Linked DNA regions of Arabidopsis thaliana. The protein of the gene in region 1 binds, or shares a complex with, the protein of each later gene. Links are inferred from orthologs where the notes say so. Each region holds a gene or a part of one and is shown in the gene's direction. Other genes may lie near its edges.

Evidence for each region. Proteins that work in one complex are often made in the same cells at the same time.
Region 2: the proteins of petD (region 1) and AT3G47070 are in contact, whole or in part, in a cryo-EM structure (PDB 9ES9), measured with the Spinacia oleracea proteins. The link is inferred for Arabidopsis thaliana from one-to-one orthologs. Residues at the interface, in NP_054965.1 of Spinacia oleracea: Thr4, Lys6, Pro7, Leu9, Leu18, Ala19, His24, Tyr27, Lys119, Phe120, Gln121, Asn122, Arg125; in XP_056683494.1 of Spinacia oleracea: Asp46, Phe48, Glu50, Thr51, Ile54, Leu55, Arg56, Gly57.

What each region holds. Positions count from the first base shown.
Region 1 is NC_000932.1:72,478-78,172, forward strand, and holds petD (cytochrome b6/f complex subunit IV), read left to right. Parts: upstream 1-4,003; coding exon 4,004-4,011; intron 4,012-4,720; coding exon 4,721-5,195; downstream 5,196-5,695. Other genes in the region: psbB (photosystem II 47 kDa protein), read left to right, coding at 1-1,420; psbT (photosystem II protein T), read left to right, coding at 1,605-1,706; psbN (photosystem II protein N), read right to left, coding at 1,772-1,903; psbH (photosystem II protein H), read left to right, coding at 2,008-2,229; petB (cytochrome b6), read left to right, coding at 2,364-2,369, 3,174-3,815; rpoA (RNA polymerase alpha subunit), read right to left, coding at 5,424-5,695. UniProt on the Arabidopsis thaliana protein: Component of the cytochrome b6-f complex, which mediates electron transfer between photosystem II (PSII) and photosystem I (PSI), cyclic electron flow around PSI, and state transitions.
Region 2 is NC_003074.8:17,334,290-17,340,877, reverse strand, and holds AT3G47070 (thylakoid soluble phosphoprotein), read left to right. Parts: upstream 1-3,144; 5' UTR 3,145-3,370; coding exon 3,371-3,673; 3' UTR 3,674-4,264; downstream 4,265-6,588. Other genes in the region: AT3G47080 (Tetratricopeptide repeat (TPR)-like superfamily protein), read left to right, coding at 749-2,049, 2,217-2,463; ftsh7 (FTSH protease 7), read right to left, coding at 4,265-4,392, 4,554-4,677, 4,766-5,086, 5,185-5,310, 5,390-5,498, 5,590-5,714, 5,792-5,905, 5,993-6,079 and 2 more.

The sequences.
Region 1 (5,695 bases):
GATGGCTCTATATGAATTAGCAGTTTTTGATCCCTCCGACCCCGTTCTTGATCCAATGTGGAGACAAGGTATGTTCGTTATACCTTTCATGACTCGTTTAGGAATAACCAATTCTTGGGGCGGTTGGAATATTACAGGGGGGACTATAACGAATCCGGGTCTTTGGAGTTACGAAGGGGTAGCCGGAGCACATATAGTGTTTTCTGGTTTGTGCTTCTTGGCAGCTATTTGGCATTGGGTATATTGGGATCTAGAAATTTTTTGTGATGAACGTACAGGAAAACCTTCTTTGGATTTGCCCAAGATTTTTGGAATTCATTTATTTCTTTCAGGAGTGGCTTGCTTCGGTTTTGGCGCATTTCATGTAACAGGATTATATGGTCCTGGAATATGGGTATCCGACCCTTATGGACTAACCGGAAAGGTACAACCCGTAAACCCGGCGTGGGGCGTGGAGGGTTTTGACCCTTTTGTTCCGGGAGGAATAGCCTCTCATCATATTGCAGCAGGGACGTTGGGTATATTAGCGGGCCTATTCCATCTTAGTGTTCGTCCGCCTCAACGTCTATACAAAGGATTACGTATGGGCAATATTGAAACCGTCCTTTCCAGTAGTATTGCTGCTGTCTTTTTTGCAGCTTTTGTTGTTGCTGGAACTATGTGGTATGGTTCTGCAACTACTCCCATCGAATTATTTGGTCCTACTCGTTATCAATGGGATCAGGGATACTTTCAACAAGAAATATATCGAAGAGTTAGTGCTGGACTGGCTGAAAATCAAAGTTTATCAGAAGCTTGGGCGAAAATTCCTGAAAAATTAGCTTTTTATGATTATATTGGTAATAATCCAGCAAAAGGGGGGTTATTCCGAGCGGGTTCAATGGACAATGGGGATGGAATAGCTGTTGGATGGTTAGGCCACCCCGTCTTTAGAAATAAAGAAGGGCGTGAACTTTTTGTACGCCGCATGCCTACTTTTTTTGAAACTTTTCCGGTAGTTTTGGTAGACGGAGACGGAATTGTTAGAGCTGACGTCCCGTTTAGAAGGGCAGAATCAAAATATAGTGTCGAACAAGTAGGTGTAACTGTTGAGTTTTATGGTGGTGAACTCAATGGAGTGAGTTATAGTGATCCCGCAACTGTGAAAAAATATGCTAGACGGGCTCAATTGGGTGAGATTTTTGAATTAGATCGTGCGACTTTGAAATCTGATGGTGTTTTTCGTAGCAGCCCAAGAGGTTGGTTTACGTTTGGACATGCTTCGTTTGCTCTACTTTTCTTCTTTGGACACATTTGGCATGGTGCTAGAACCCTCTTCAGAGATGTTTTTGCTGGTATTGATCCAGATTTGGATGCTCAAGTGGAATTCGGGGCATTCCAAAAACTTGGAGATCCAACTACAAAACGACAAGCAGTCTGATGCAACATTGCTTTTTTTCTTCTAGTTTCTGTTTGTTATTTTATTTAATAGGTAGGGTACTGTAGGAATCTTTATTTAAATCGCTGCCGTTTCTTTGACTCTTTTTCTTTCTTTATCCTCCCAAGTAAACAAAACGTAAACAAAACAGGTATGAAAGCTATAATTGTAAACCACGATCAAATTTATGGAAGCATTGGTTTATACATTTCTCTTAGTATCCACTTTAGGGATAATTTTTTTCGCTATTTTTTTTCGGGAACCACCTAAAATTTCAACTAAAAAATGAAATAATTTTTCATTATCTTCATTAACGTAATCAGCCTCCAAATATTTGGAGGCTGATTACGTTAACTAGTCCCCGTGTTCCTCGAATGGATCTCTTAGTTGTTGAGAGGGTTGCCCAAAGGCAGTATATAGAGCATACCCAGTAAAACTTACAAGTAACCCAGATATAAAGATGGCGACTAGGGTTGCTGTTTCCATTATTATAGAATTGAAAGACCACACCGGATCTATGCTAAGATCATTTATTTACAACGGAATGGTATACAAAGTCAACAGATCGTAATGAATACAAAATAAGATTTATGGCTACACAAACTGTTGAAGATAGTTCTAGATCTGGTCCAAGAAGCACTACTGTAGGGAAGTTATTGAAACCATTGAATTCCGAATATGGTAAAGTAGCTCCCGGATGGGGAACGACCCCTTTGATGGGTGTTGCAATGGCTCTATTTGCGGTATTCCTATCTATTATTTTGGAGATTTATAATTCTTCTGTTCTACTGGATGGAATTTCAGTGAATTAGACTGAGAAGAATCTTGAAGTTCTAGCTTTTAGCTCGATACAAAAAAGTAAAGTATGCAGGTCTAACAATTTTAGCCTATTCTCCTTTGGTAGTTCGACCGCGAAATTTTTTTCTGCATTGTATATTTCCGGAATATGAGTGTGTGACTTGTTAGAATTGACCCTATGGATAGTACAGAGAATGGGGTCTGTCATCTTTATCAAGATGGTTTTACTTCGTCGGATATTCATTCGAGTATCTGGAGCACGAAATAGATCAAATAGATCACAAAGTATTCGAACTATGATTCATACTTAAATACTCAAACCTCGTAGCCGGACTTCTTTCCGTTCTATCTTATAAACTTTAATAAATCAAAAAAATTTTCTGCTTTTAAACTCTTATTTGGATCAAAGGACAAACGCTTCTTTGTATTTTATGTTTTTAGTCATTATAGCTTTTTTTTTATTGAATAAGTGATGATCCAATGGTTCTCACTCAGTGAACTTTGGACTTTGAAGGTTTCATTAAATTATCGTGGTTCTCGTATGAATCTGAGGTTTCAATTGATTAGTTAAGTAGGGTCTTAACAAGAGAATTCCTATCAATAATAAAGAAAACAAGAAGAAATCCCTGTCCCCGTTCCATACAAATACCAAATAAAAAAAGACAATAAAGATAGGTAATCTAGAAGATTCAAGAGGCCTGTAACGATCAACACAACATAAAGACGAATGAGCTTACTTGATTTTTTGGCATTTAACCACAAAGACGAGCTTTCGCATTTTGACTCTTTCATATCTTTAAATAATAAAAAATAATATTGAATGAGAGACAAGTTTAAAACTTTATATTCCATATCTGTTTCAATCAGTATTTGGGTCTTTTTTTGTTTGAGCTGTACGAGATGAAATTCTCATATACAGTTCTTGGAGGGGGAGTAACCTTGGTTTACCTATCTCAATAAAGTTTATGATTGGTTCGAAGAACGTCTTGAGATTCAGGCGATTGCAGATGATATAACTAGTAAATATGTTCCTCCGCATGTCAACATATTTTATTGTCTAGGCGGAATTACCCTTACTTGTTTTTTAGTACAAGTAGCTACGGGATTTGCTATGACTTTTTATTACCGTCCAACCGTTACTGAAGCTTTTGCTTCTGTTCAATATATAATGACTGAAGCTAACTTTGGTTGGTTAATCCGATCAGTTCATCGATGGTCGGCAAGTATGATGGTCCTAATGATGATCCTGCACGTATTTCGTGTATACCTCACCGGTGGTTTTAAAAAACCTCGCGAATTAACTTGGGTTACTGGTGTGGTTCTGGGTGTATTGACCGCATCTTTTGGTGTAACAGGTTATTCTTTACCTTGGGATCAAATTGGTTATTGGGCGGTCAAAATTGTAACAGGTGTACCTGACGCTATTCCGGTAATAGGATCACCTCTTGTAGAATTATTACGCGGAAGTGCTAGTGTTGGACAATCCACTTTGACTCGTTTTTATAGTTTACACACTTTTGTATTACCTCTTCTTACGGCCGTCTTTATGTTAATGCATTTCCTAATGATACGTAAGCAAGGTATTTCTGGTCCCTTATAAATAATATAGATTCTAGGTATTTGTACTTACTTATTACTTGGTGAAGGAACGATAGTATTTTATTGCTATAAATATGGATTATTAAAAAAATAAAACATGTATTTGGATATTTCCCTTCAACTCCACAATATTTTATTATTTTTTTGACATAAAAAGTTGAAGGGAATTCTATGAAGAGATAATGGATTATGGGAGTGTGTGACTTGAACTATTGATCGGGCCGTGCAGAAATATTACTTTATCTGCTACATTGGAATTCACAACCAAATGTGTCTTTGTTCCAACCACTGTGTAAGCCCCATACAGGGGATAGGCTGGTTCACTTGAAGAGAATCTTTTCTATGATCGTACCCGACGCTGTCGTGGATGAGTGGGCTCCGTAAAATCCAGTAGATTAAGGGATGGAACAAAATCCTGATTATGTTTTTAGTTATTTTGGACTAAAAAAAAAAAAGAAAATAATTATTAATAGTAATAGTATGTAAATGCATTCATTTTCTCTGCATCGACTCGATTTATGATACTATCGGAGTGAATACAGGATCTAATGAAGAGTAGAGGGTAGACTCCATTAGTAACAAGTAAATCCTTTGTATTTGAAAAATCTCGATATAATTGTTGAGATTAAGGACGAATTTATAAGGTATGAGACGACCCAGAAAGCACTTAATCATGATAAACTTTTTAAGCTTACGTGGGTGTTGAGCATTTACCTGTAAGAATGGAATTTCTTGAATCTTTAGTTGCAATAACTTTGGAATCGGATAATTAATTTTTACATATTAAATTATATTTTTTGTATGTATTCATTTAGTTTGGTTAATTCTTGCTCGAGCCGGATGATAAAAAATTATCATGTCCGGTTCCCTCGGGGGATGGATCCATAAGAATTCACCTATCCCAATAACAAAAAAACCAGATTTGAATGATCCTGTATTACGAGCTAAATTAGCTAAAGGTATGGGTCACAATTATTACGGGGAACCCGCATGGCCCAACGACCTTTTATATATTTTTCCAGTAGTTATTCTTGGTACCATTGCCTGTAACGTAGGCTTAGCGGTTTTAGAACCATCAATGATTGGTGAACCTGCGGATCCTTTTGCAACTCCTTTGGAAATATTACCTGAATGGTATTTCTTTCCTGTATTTCAAATACTTCGTACAGTGCCTAACAAATTATTGGGTGTTCTTTTAATGGTTTCAGTACCAGCGGGATTATTAACCGTACCCTTTTTGGAAAATGTTAATAAGTTTCAAAATCCATTTCGTCGTCCAGTAGCGACAACCGTCTTTTTGATTGGCACCGCGGCGGCCCTGTGGTTAGGTATTGGAGCAACATTACCGATTGATAAATCTCTAACTTTAGGTCTTTTTTAATTCAATTTATTCAATTGTAAAATAAACGACGTGGGTATCTAGGGAGGTATCTAGGGAGTAGTCATTTCCAAATGAATTCTCCCTAGATACATATCTAATTCTAATTAATTTAATTAATTAATTAAAATGGGTTCGACTGGAAAATAGAAATTACGTTGAAATTTGAAAATCCATTTCAATTTCAAATTGACTTTTTAGTCTTAGTCAATTTTTTTTGAAATGTTTTTTCTATTTTTTTTCTAGAATGTCTAATATCTTTTTTACATCTTCTACGTGAAAATGTTCAATTTTGATAAGGTCTTCTTGACTGTTATTCAAAAGGTCCAATAATGTATGTATATTGGATTTTTTGAGACAATTGTAGATTCTGGGAGGCAATTCTAATTGGTCAATAAAAATATATTGAAAGGCTAGTTCTTTTGTTTTTTTTTTTTTTCTTAGGTTAACTAATCGATTATGAAAAGGAAAAAAGGGTAAAGTAACTTGATGTTGATTGTTCT
Region 2 (6,588 bases), on another chromosome or scaffold:
CAAATCTTATTAGAGAATGAGATAATCTACTCTAAAACAAGCTATTTTCTTTTCATACTTTCGTTTTCAGGAATAAATCGAGAAAATACAAATTTCATAACACTCAATATCGAGAAAACCCAAGTTTGTGTCCTCGTTAGGTCCGTGAACCCATCTCCATATTCTTCAACCCCCTACGTGGCAATAGATCAAACCGAAGCTATATCAACCAACACGTGATTCATTCTCATCCGTCAGATCAAGATCGATGAAGCCGCGATGAAAGCAAAATTTTCCCGAATAAACCGCGTCGCTTAGTTTAGCCGAATCCTTATCATTCATCACCTGTAACCGTCTCTACCCGTGGAATAAATAAATAAAACCAATCTCTTCTCTAAAATAGCACGCGCCTTTTCACCGCCTATATCCGGTAAATTAATTAAATAATTTACTAATTTTTCTCTCTTGGTATATAAACATACAAGGGCTTTTGTCTTCTTCTTCTTCTTCTTCTCTGTTTCTAACAAAGTTCAGGAGCTCTCGTAAGCCTCTGAATTCGATTTGACCTGACAACCATACAAAAAATTCTCCCGAGAAAATCTCTCTCTCAACGAACGAATTTCGAATCACCAAGAAGAAGTAAGCTCTCTCTCTTTCTCATTCTCATTCTCTCTTATCTTTCAATTTCTCGTAATCAATTTTGTCTTAATCTTTATAGCTTTTCTCGATTTATACAGATTCTGAGATTTGTTTGCGTTTCATCGGAATAATGGAAGTGAAAGTAGCAACAACGACGTCGTTTCATTGGTCAGGACGACACACAGCGATTCCTCAATGTCCGTCATTTTCGCAAACCCTAACTTCATCTAAACGCCGTCGTTCTCGTGGAATAGCCGGTGATGTTTCCGTCGGAGGAGGATCTTTGAGATTAAAACCTTCGACGTTTCTCGGAACACAATCTGGGAAACTTCACCGATCTAAATCATGTGAGCTTTGGCAATTTTCTAATTCCACCACGAAGAAGATTAGAACTGATGTGAAGAAGAAACATAATCCTTTGAGAAGAGTTTGTAGTGCGAGCTCCGGTTTCTTCTCCTCCGACGAAGCATTCTCTGTGAAAATGCAGGAATTAGCTTCACAATTCAGAAACGCAGGCGATGAAGAAGAAGAAGAGAACAAACAGAAATCAGAAGCAGTAGATAACGATAACGATAGCAATAATCATAGATTTGGTTCTTTGAAGCTATTACAAGAGTCTGTTCCAGGTTTAGCTTCTTTGGAAGCTCCATGGGCAGAGATGGTTAACCATTCAAGTATTGAGCGTAAAGCAAACAGTGTTGATTTACCTCTATCACTTAGGATAATAAAGAGGAAGTTACAAGAAGAAGCTCTTAAGAAAGCTAGTGCTACTACTTACTGTTCTATCAATAGAGCTTTTTCTTCTATGGTTTTCATGATTGAGGAGCTTCATAGCTTTGCGTTGCAGACTAGAGTGGGTGTTCTTAAGCAGGTTAAGAAGGAAATGCACGCTTCATTGTTGTGGATTTTCCAACGTGTGTTCTCTCAGACACCTACTTTGATGGTTTATGTGATGATCCTTTTGGCGAACTACACTGTGCATTCAGTTGCATCAAACCTACCTATTGCAGCATCTCCTCCAGTTGTTAATAAAGGTCCGGATCAGACGCAACAAAGGATTGATTTTTCTTCGTTAAAGGAGTCTACGAAGCTTGATGGGTCCAAATGGTTAGGATCGATCAATTTTGACAAGGTTTCCCACTTGCCGAGACATCGAGACTCGGTTTCAGGAGAAGGGATGAGAGAAGAGGAGGTGAGTCTGTGGAATTCGATGGTGGAAGAAGCAGATCAAATGCAAGATTCCTCTGTTGATCGTGACATGAGATTGAGACTTGTTTCACCGATCACTGCAAGGATTGAATTGGATGATTATGCCAATTACACTAGAACTGAGCTTTTATATAAGATAGGTTTGGCTCAAGAGCCTGACAATCATCTGCTCCTAGCTAACTACGCTCAGTTCCTTTACCTCGTTACTCAAGACCATGAGAGGTGAGATATCCTTTTAACCTATTCTTGCATCTAACATTCAAGACTTTATTACCTGTACTTTGAGAAGTATATGCTTGCACTTGACACATTGAGTATCAAAAGATTGGTTATGATTCTATGTAACTCTGGAACTTGACAAATGATGTTTGCTTTTGGTTATGTATTAGAGCGGAGAACTGCTTCAAGAAAGCAATAGAGTCAGAAGATGTAGACGCAGAAACGTACAGCAAATACGCCATCTTCCTGTGGAAAGTTCGGAATGATCTCTGGGCTGCTGAGGAGAACTTTCTAGAAGCTATATCTGCAGACCCTACCAACTCCTTCTACGCCGCCAACTACGCCAATTTCCTCTGGAATACCGGTGGTGAAGAGACGTGTTTCCCTTTAGAAGATTCTACTCAGGAAATGGTTTGAGAAGGAGCGAATGGCAGTGAATGGATGTTGGTTTGTTTGGAGTGAAGAGACAGCGACACGGAACTTAGGTACACGATAGAAGCAAGAGGAAAAGTGTAAGTAGTGTTTTTGAGTGAACCATTGCGGCTGATGAAACATTGCTTCTCTTTGGTTCTTTTTTCTTTTTGCTTTTGCCTAATTTTTCACTCAGTAGTATATACGGTCGCAGATTCCATCGAATAAGAACATGTGTAGATCCAACACTATTACACGAATAATAAACACTGAGCATTGCTTTTGGTGAAATAATAAGTGCGCATATTTGAATCGTTTAATGGAATTTATCTTGTAACTTTCTTCGAGCTTCGTTCATCAGTGTTGTGGCGCTACTCGTAGGAGTCTACTCTAGAGCTTTATATCCCATCTTGTCACAGTTCCTTTTAAAGAAATGGGCCTCGTCGGCCCAATAACAGAAAAAAGGTTTTTAGTTTTGATCAGAGTCTCAAGTTGCAGCAGCTAACAACCAACATGGTCAGGGACAAGATCACACACTTAAAAAAAATCAAGTCGTGTCTCTTCCGCATTCATACATTTCATTTGACAAATAAATTATAAATCTGAAATTGAAGACTTTGACTCTCTGTGCAAATTTCCGTTTAAGAACTTGAGAAGAATATACATAAATTGTGCCAAGATATATCTAAAAACAATTAAACCAAAAAAAATGTATCCAAGTGATTCAAAGAAAAATGTGTGAAGGGAAAAAAGAAAGAGGATAAGACACTTGTGGAGAGCTTGTGCCAAAAAAATCCAACGGCTCAGATTCAACCAACCTCGTTATAATCCCTTCGTAACAAATGCCACACGAAGACACACATACACACACTACCGATAAAGAAAAACCAGAGAAGAGAGAGAGATAACAACAATGGTTTCTTCGCTTCTTATGTCATTTGCTCCGGCCACCGTGAGGGTTTACGCCACAAGCACAAAGGGAGGTTCAGGCGGCCCAAAGGAGGAGAAGAATCCCATCGACTTTGTTCTTGGGTTTATGACAAAACAAGATCAGTTCTATGAGACTAATCCACTTCTAAAGAAGGTGGATGAGAAAGAAGGCACCACCACCGGAGGCCGAGGAACCGTTCGCGGTGGTAAAAACTCAGCTCCGACGCCTGTGCCGAAGAAGAGCGAGGGTGGATTTGGTGGCTTAGGAAGCCTCTTCAAGAAATAGAAGAAAAAAATGTATAGTAATTTGCATTATTCATGCCTCTGTTTTCATTCTCTATAATTCTTCGGATTTCACTTATATATAAGCTACTCTTTCTTAATCTTATTTGACATCACATGATCTAGTTATTTATTTTTCTGAACATTTTCAAGATTAACTCCACTACTTCGAGAAATCTGAGAATAATAGACTAATATGAGTAATGCTAATGCAACTTTTTCTGGAGTACAATGAGTGATGCTGTTGCAACCTTTTGTGGGGGTCTTTAAGATCTTTACACATATCAGTCTGGCTTTTTATACATATGAATCAATTATACACTTTTTTGCCAAGTTAAAGAGACTGTATCTAGCAAGAATACCAAATCTTAAAACACATCCACCAAAATCTATGAGTTATCACCAAAAGTCATATCCCAATATGGTTCTTCAAGTTTGATTCAAGTGTTCTATGCATGCTGGAACCATGGATGCTAAAGGGCAATGGTGATAACCAGATCTGACCTGGAGATACAGAAGGCAGCAAGGAAAGAGCTGATGATCCGTGTTAGATACTGTCTTTATAGCTATAATTGATGATAGAACAGAGTAGTTGTTAACTGGAGCTAGCTTGTGCTGGGAGCAAAAGCTCTTGCTTTCCTTCGACAAAGACTGCGAGTTCTTCTGGTGCAACCACCATGCTTAACCACTTCTGCAGTTCTTCACCTTCTACTTTCTCTTTCTCTGCACCAAAACATGATATTTCATCAGCAAAATCAGCCAGTTGTCACATGAACCAAACTCAAGACAAGGGATATAATCTTTCTCGCAAGCAGTTATATCCTTTAGTGTCCTACATGTTTTCAAAAACTGTTCTGATGAAAACAAATAAACTTATACTACACCTTCAAGTTGAGCACCAAGCCCTTCCAATACATCTGGATTAGCGCGTACAACAGACAGCGCAACATCGAGAGCAGATTGTAACAAAATTGTCACTTCTTTTTGAACAAGATCAACTAGTTTCCCCTGTGTATTAACATGGAAGGTTAACTTTTGCATGGACAATTGGAAATTATAAGACAACCTAGGCAAGTGCATTGCAACATGAAGTTACCTGATCTCTTCCCCATGGCGAGCCTCCAGAATCGTCAATCCCACCACCAGAAAGTGTAGCCACAGACACAGGTCCGATTTTTTGGTTAAGACCGTATTCAGCTACTGCCTTGTATGCCATATCAGTTGCCCGCCTTATATCATCAAATGCACCTGTTGATATACGCCCTGAGTAAACAACTTCTTCAGCTGCACGACCTCCAAGAAGGGTAACTAAACGCCCAAGCAGCTCATCAATGAAGAGTAAATATCTGTCTTCACTAGTAGGAGGAATGTATGTAAATCCCAATGCCCCTCCTGTTCTTGGCAATATGCTTAATTTCTGACAACACCACAAAGATGAGCAAAACTTGAATCATTTGCACGTACTAAACAACATAAACAATGAGCGTAAATGTAGACAAAGTTTTTGCATTTTACCTCAACACGTGGCTGTCCAGTAAGAAGATTTGCAACAGCGGTACCAACCACTGCATGCCCAGCTTCATGCCTTGCGACCACTGCCTTCTCATTGCCTTTTAATCTTGCAGATTTCTTCTCTATGCCCTGAAACAGGTCTTTGTAAGAAAACACATTTTGACAATTGCCTTACGTAATCAATAAAACAGCGAGGTTATAGAGATACCGCTATTGATCGCTCCACAGCTTGAATGAAGTCAATTTTCTCAACGTTCGTCTTGTTCTTTCTTCCAGCTAGCAAGGCAGCCTCATTTACCAAGTTTGCAAGATCTGCCCTGCAAATAGGACAAAAGAGTTTATGAGATATACACCCAAAAACGTATAACTGAATAAACTTCAAATCATTGATAATATACAAAAGCGTACCCCGTGAAACCAGTGGTCATTGAGGCAATACTACCGAGGTTGACATCATCTCCCAAAGGAAGCTCTTTCTTTGACACATGTACTCTCAAAATGGATTCTCTTCCAATTTTGTCTGGCGTTTCCACCTGAAAAATGCATCAGTGCCTTTGAAAAAACCATATTAAACATTTACAAATAGGCAGAGCTGATCCATTCTACCAACCGTAACAACACGATCAAATCTCCCAGGACGACGCAGGGCCGGATCTAAGACATCGGCACGATTTGTAGCTCCAAGAACGATAACCGCAGAATTGCTGTCAAAACCATCCATCTCCTGCAGAAAAGTTTCCAACATGTGAATGGGTCATGGAAAGATCAAGAATGCTACTTACACAGGAAAGGTGCTTGACAGCAGACTTACAGTGAGCAACTGATTTAAAGTTTGCTCCCTTTCATCGTTGCTCCCCATTCGGAATTTACCATCACGGCTTTTTGCCACAGCATCTATCTGGAGCATGAGAGGCAAATAGAAAATCTTGTTTAAGATGCCCAGAGGTTTAATATACCGGAGGTAATCTGACATCGACTACCTATTCTAACCTCATCAATAAATATAATCGATGGAGCTTCCTTCTTGGCCCGTGCAAAAAGATCCCTTACACGTGAGGCACCCATACCGACATACAGCTCTACAAACTCACTTGCAGAGCAACTTATGAAGGGGACTTCAGCTTCCCCAGCAACAGCCTTTGCAAGAAGGGTTTTCCCTGTTCCGGGAAGACCAACCTGGAAAAGAAAGGAGTCAAAGGCATATCATTCTAAAGGAGAGCTCTTGTAACCAAACGTTAAACCATGATATATACGTAATATAAGAATAAAGTGAAATCAAATGATAAAACTCACCAATAGGACACCACGCGGAGGACGTGCACCTAGACGGACATACTTTTCAGGATTCCTAAGAAATTCCTGCATTGATTAACCGATGTGTAAAAGACAATTACCAAACCGAGAATA